Linked DNA regions of Saccharomyces cerevisiae S288C. The gene in region 2 interacts genetically with the main gene of each other region. Each region holds a gene or a part of one and is shown on either strand. Other genes may lie near its edges.

The links.
Region 1: mutations in YPT7 (region 2) and VAM7 together harm fitness less than expected from each alone (positive genetic interaction), as found in Saccharomyces cerevisiae (3 studies listed by BioGRID).

Annotation. Positions count from the first base shown.
Region 1 is NC_001139.9:89,399-92,913, forward strand, and holds VAM7 (Vam7p), read left to right. Parts: upstream 1-2,033; coding exon 2,034-2,984; downstream 2,985-3,515. Other genes in the region: SKI complex subunit WD repeat protein SKI8, read right to left, coding at 656-1,849; NCS6 (Ncs6p), read left to right, coding at 3,114-3,515. UniProt on the Saccharomyces cerevisiae protein: Essential for proper morphogenesis of the vacuole. May exist as structural reinforcement on the surface of the vacuolar membrane and be required for maintenance against rupture by osmotic pressure.
Region 2 is NC_001145.3:265,565-268,463, forward strand, and holds YPT7 (Rab family GTPase YPT7), read left to right. Parts: upstream 1-1,609; coding exon 1,610-2,236; downstream 2,237-2,899. Other genes in the region: VRL1 (Vrl1p), read left to right, coding at 1-1,190. UniProt on the Saccharomyces cerevisiae protein: Ypt/Rab-type GTPases are key regulators of membrane trafficking and intracellular vesicular transport.

The sequences.
Region 1 (3,515 bases), on a different chromosome or scaffold from region 2:
CAGGATCATCTTTCTAATCTATCATTTTATTATTTTCTCTCATGAGAAAACAGAATTTCGAAACAGATATAATAAAAAAATTGAAAAATTTGAAAAAAAAAAATCTAGAAACATATTTTCCTAAAATGAAAATCGGAAGCTAACAAAATTTTTGAAAAACGAAATAAAGAAGAAAGATTATTATTATTACTTTTTTTATTAGTACTCCATATGGACCTCTTAGGTGAGTGATCTTATTAAAAAAAATAAAAAAAATAAAAAAATATGAAAAAAAAAGAAAATTAAAAACTAAACAAATTTTATGACAGGAATAAAAACTATAAAAAATGAAAACCAAAAAAAAAAAGCACTGGATTTTTAACATCTTGTCCTTTTCTTTCCCTTTATCATTTTTTCTCATTTACTTTGTTATTAATTTTTTTTTTCAAGTTCTCCACATATACATATGTAAGAATTGAGTCTATCTCTTTCTAATATTTAAGAAATACATAAAAAAACCAATTTTTTTTTTTTATTACTAGCAAATTTATTTTTGTGAAGTGAAATTCATACATTGGCTTATTAAAGGTATTAAATATTACTGAAATTTTATGAACCAAAAAGAATAATGGATGATTGTAAGGTTACATGCAATATATCAAGATATTACTAGAGATTATTTACCGCCAGCTTCTCTAAACCACCTGATGCTTCTATCTAAACAAACACAGCATAAACTTTCATTTAAATCAGCTCCCATACCAGATCTCCAACCTTTTTTCAAAAACTTCACGTCAAAGACACCAGGTTCAGCTAAAGAATCTCCATGTTCATCAACAGCTAAGATATCCTCTTCAATTTCAATATCATCACAATGCATATTCAATGTAGTGATTCTTTCCTTTGTTTTTACATCCCAAAATCTCAATTTACCATCCCATCCGGCACTGCATAATGTTTCACCAGAATCATTAAACGATAGACTCATGACCCAGCTAGAATGTGCAAATTCACCCAGACTTGCCTGCGAGCTATGGGTTGGTACGGATAAGGAGCCTATTCTTTCACCAAATTCAGTTTCATATAGAGTGATGCAACCAAATGAATTTGAATCGTGAGCAATGGCTAATAAGGATCCTTGAGGAGAAAATTTCACCGATCTGATGGAATTCGAATTATTAATCATAGAATGCTGAGATTCAAAATTGTACAACGGGCGTAATGTAGATAGTTCTGAAATTTGTACTGTTCCATTATTAAAACCTGTGGCAATTAGTCCTCGTTCAGAGATATCCACAGAAGTGGCAAATTGACTTGGAGTCATAGGCGATTCGACAGTGCCTTGTAATTCTAACGTGGGGCTCCAATTTAGTGTTAAAGAATTTGACTCATCTGCAAACGGGTGAAACTTCCAAATGTAAGTGGTCCCTTTGACGTCTGTAGCAACCAGCCTATGGGAAAGTAGTCTGTCATTTGAGGCACCCCATTTTAATGCCCAAAAGGAATGCTTTTTCATGTCTGAGTCTAGAAGATCCAATTTCTCGAATATAACTTTTTTAGTCTCATCTTCTCTAGTGATACGATAGAAGAGTAAATCGCCAGAAAATGAAGTGGTAGCAACAAGGCATAATTCAAATGCATCTCTCTCAATAGCTTGCAAGACATCGACATGGTGCAATCCGGACTTATGGACAAAGTGAGAATATGACTTATCTTTTGGATTTTCATTATCTAACAGCTTATTATCCCACACCTTTAAGTAACCGTCACCTGAACAACTTACCGTAAATGAATTGCAAGCAGAAACCGAGAAAATATCAGCGTCATGAGCTTTACCTGCATTTGCTGTGGCAATAAACACTTTGGACATTTTTCCAATACTTGATTAACCTCTTTTTCGTTTCTTGTCTTTATTTTAGATTTGTTTTAATATCGCCTAATTTTTCCTTCTTTACTTTATATTTTTTTTATTTTTCGCCTAAAGATTTGTATCAATTAATTAGCCAACAAAAACAAAAACAATAAAGTCATATAAGGGTTGATAATTGATATTGATGGCAGCTAATTCTGTAGGGAAAATGAGTGAAAAGTTAAGAATCAAGGTGGACGATGTTAAAATCAACCCCAAGTATGTTTTATACGGTGTTAGTACACCAAACAAGCGCCTTTACAAAAGGTATTCCGAGTTTTGGAAACTGAAGACACGATTGGAGAGAGATGTAGGAAGCACCATCCCATATGACTTCCCTGAAAAGCCCGGTGTATTGGACAGGAGGTGGCAAAGAAGATATGATGATCCGGAAATGATCGATGAAAGACGGATCGGACTAGAGAGGTTCCTCAATGAATTGTATAACGATCGTTTTGATTCTCGATGGAGAGACACAAAAATAGCGCAAGACTTCCTGCAGTTGTCAAAGCCAAATGTTTCTCAAGAAAAGTCACAGCAGCATCTAGAAACTGCTGACGAAGTGGGATGGGATGAGATGATAAGAGATATTAAATTGGATTTAGATAAGGAGAGTGATGGCACACCCAGCGTGCGTGGAGCACTAAGGGCACGTACGAAGCTCCACAAGTTACGAGAGCGACTAGAACAGGATGTGCAAAAGAAGTCTCTTCCAAGCACGGAAGTGACTCGTCGCGCCGCTCTATTGAGGTCCTTGCTCAAGGAATGCGATGACATTGGTACAGCAAACATAGCTCAGGACCGTGGACGACTTCTGGGGGTTGCCACCAGTGACAACTCTTCAACCACGGAAGTTCAAGGAAGAACGAATAACGATTTGCAACAGGGGCAGATGCAAATGGTGCGCGATCAAGAACAAGAGTTGGTTGCACTGCACCGAATTATCCAGGCACAACGTGGATTGGCCTTAGAGATGAACGAGGAGCTGCAAACACAGAATGAGCTACTTACAGCACTTGAAGATGACGTCGATAACACTGGTAGGAGGTTACAGATAGCCAACAAGAAGGCTAGACATTTTAACAACAGTGCTTGAATTAATGAGTTACTATCCGGGTTACAAATCCTGAGAGTATATTTGTACTAAAAAAAAAAATTGTAAATCTAGTAATTGAAAAATTTTGGCGATGAGACGATATGGTAAGAGTAAAGCAAAGGAACCGTCATGTCGTTTACTGCTCCTTCAGATCCCGTCAATAAACCGACAAAAGTGAAGGTATCACAGTTGTGTGAACTATGTCATTCAAGAAAGGCTCTCATTAGAAGACCCAAAAACCTGTCTAAACTTTGCAAACAATGCTTCTGCCTCGTGTTCGAGACGGAGATCCATAACACTATTGTAGCAAATAACTTGTTTCAGAGGGGAGAAAAAGTAGCCGTGGGGGCCTCTGGTGGTAAAGACTCCACGGTGTTAGCGCATATGCTGAAGCTTCTGAATGACCGTTACGATTACGGCATTGAGATTGTACTGTTGAGTATTGACGAAGGAATCATCGGATACAGAGATGATTCCTTGGCCACGGTGAAAAGGAATCAGCAGCAGTATGGCCTTCCTTTGGAGATTTTT
Region 2 (2,899 bases):
TTATATTAGAGAAGGTTCAAAACTCGACCTTCTTCACTTGTTTTGATTATGCAAAAGATCACTCGGTACTAAGCAAGATAGGAGAAAGGGGTGTCAAAGATTCACTTTTTGGATTAATATATTTTCATTCTTTGCGATATCATAATTTAAATGCGACAACAAATATAACATCCGTTTCAAATGCAGAGAAACCTTTCGCCACTACTGTTATTAACATGAAAACAATTCAAGGCTTACTACGCTCAATTCTGAAAGACAATCCGTTCACCTTTTTGCCATTAAATACCTATATCGATGAAATATCGCACTTAAACCGTTCTGATTTAACAATAATCGGGAAAACAGATGTCACATCGTTACTTCACCAATTAACTAACTGCTTCAACGTTCTTTTATTCCTGAAAAAAATTCCAGAAAATTTGTTCACTGATGAGGCTTCTATCTTATATTGGATGCGCATAAACACTTCTAAAAGAAACCAGAAACCCTCAGGAAAAGAAAATCCAAAAACAATGGAACCCGAGGAGATTAATATGATACAAAGCTTTTTACGTTTTAATTTTGATGAGATTTCATCATTTAAGGCAAGCTTGAATATTTTGAGGAAAGTCTTAATATTTATTAATTTGAAATCCGATGATTTCGAGGATGCTTATAAGGGTCTTAACGAAATGGGTAGAAAATTAATTAATAGTGAAGCATCCAGCGCATTTAAGGGGATTATAACAAATCATAATATGTTCAGTGAATTATCGCTAGCAGCACTACTAGAAAACGTGCGTTTCTTGGAACAATGTACTATCCAACTATCTAGTTTCGTTCAGATAATTTTATTTGAAAAAATTCCGAACTGGTGGAAACATTATGGTGAGTTTTTAGCTTTACATAAAAGCTATCGGAAGGCTTTTCCTAACATGGTTAAGCCAAAAAGTGCATCAGATACCTCTAGTCGTGCTCCACTTGGTGGTTTTATTGAAACGAAGCGTGAACAATCGGAGCAAAGACTAGCGGTTCAGATAAAGGCCTCTTCAAAAATGCTCAAAGAACTTGGAAGCGAAATTTTTGTAGCTCACGAAAGGTTGGCCGAGGAACTAAGCAATTATATGGAGTTCAGGAAGGCGTGCTTAGATCAGCGTAGTCTTGTGGCATTTGCCACAACCAACATTAGCGTTCTTCAAGAATGTGTTTAAGATTGACTGAGCATTGCAATATTTTACCTTCTTCTCACTTGTTCTATAGAATTTTTTACCCAAAAATAAGAGATAAAGAGTTTGAAAGAAACATCATTACATATATATATATATACGGGCAGCTCCGTAACTCGAAAAGAGTGACAGCTGTTTTACTCTGTAATAGCTGACGATTCTTCAGTGATTGGAATAACCTCAGAACTCACCGGTACGGGTAACGTTTGTATCTCGCGGATTAACTTTTCGCATTTCGACCTACTGAGAGAAGAAGTTCCTTTTGTTAATCTGTACCTTTATCTTGAAAGCAGTCGTTACAGAGGAACAGCATTGGGAATCACCAACAAAATAAGAGGAATAAGCTCATCCAGTCCACTTCTTATCCATATAGAAACCCCTTCTGTATCAATTCAAATTAAGTGATGTCTTCTAGAAAAAAAAATATTTTGAAAGTAATCATCCTAGGTGACTCTGGTGTTGGGAAGACCTCCTTGATGCACCGTTATGTCAATGATAAGTATTCTCAACAGTATAAAGCAACAATTGGGGCTGACTTTTTAACAAAAGAGGTGACAGTTGACGGTGATAAAGTTGCCACCATGCAAGTTTGGGATACTGCTGGACAGGAACGTTTCCAATCACTGGGTGTTGCTTTCTATAGAGGTGCAGATTGTTGCGTTTTGGTCTACGATGTGACCAATGCCAGTTCCTTTGAGAATATTAAGTCTTGGCGAGATGAATTTCTAGTGCATGCGAACGTAAACTCACCAGAAACATTTCCATTTGTTATACTGGGAAATAAAATTGATGCCGAAGAATCTAAAAAAATTGTATCAGAAAAGTCCGCTCAGGAGCTTGCTAAATCATTAGGCGATATTCCTTTGTTTTTAACAAGTGCCAAAAACGCCATAAACGTTGATACCGCATTTGAAGAAATTGCAAGGAGTGCTTTACAACAGAATCAAGCTGATACAGAAGCCTTTGAAGATGACTATAATGATGCCATCAATATTCGCCTAGATGGAGAAAATAATTCTTGTAGCTGTTGAGCTGTACTACTTAATTGTATCTTCTATTATGTAATCCTTTATAGCGTATCCTTAAAAAAATTAATAATTTAAAACTACTAAATATATTTAGGGATGTGATGGCCCTTTCAATATGAGGCTTTCGATTACCATGTGCAATCTGTCTATGAACCTTAGTTAATTAACACAACTGTTAAATAAAGCGATTTACTACACTTGAGATAATATAACTCAACAAAACGTGACAAAAAATCACATGACTACCTAACAAAATATTTATTTTTCTTTTTTAATATTTGAAAATACTAAAATATTTTTGTTGTTTTTTGAAAAAAGGATTTTTAATGTGTATGCGTTCCGAACTTTAAATATAACGTCAGCGTAAAAATAATTTTTCTCCGAATGTATATCGAAATCTCAAATTGCTCTTAGAGATTTAGATTTCAACGACAGGATAAATTGGCTAGAGTTGAAAAAACTGCACAGAGTATATAAAAGATCTTGCAATGGATGATTAAAATTTACGGTATTTCATTTTTCCAATGAATGGCTTTTCTAAGAGAAATTAATTTCGCAATTTGTTGATGAGAAGTTCTGGCTACCTTAGTCACTATTTATTTTACTATGGCGGTATAAGTTTCTCCCGCCTTGAAAAAAGGAATACAGTAATAAAATGAATATAAA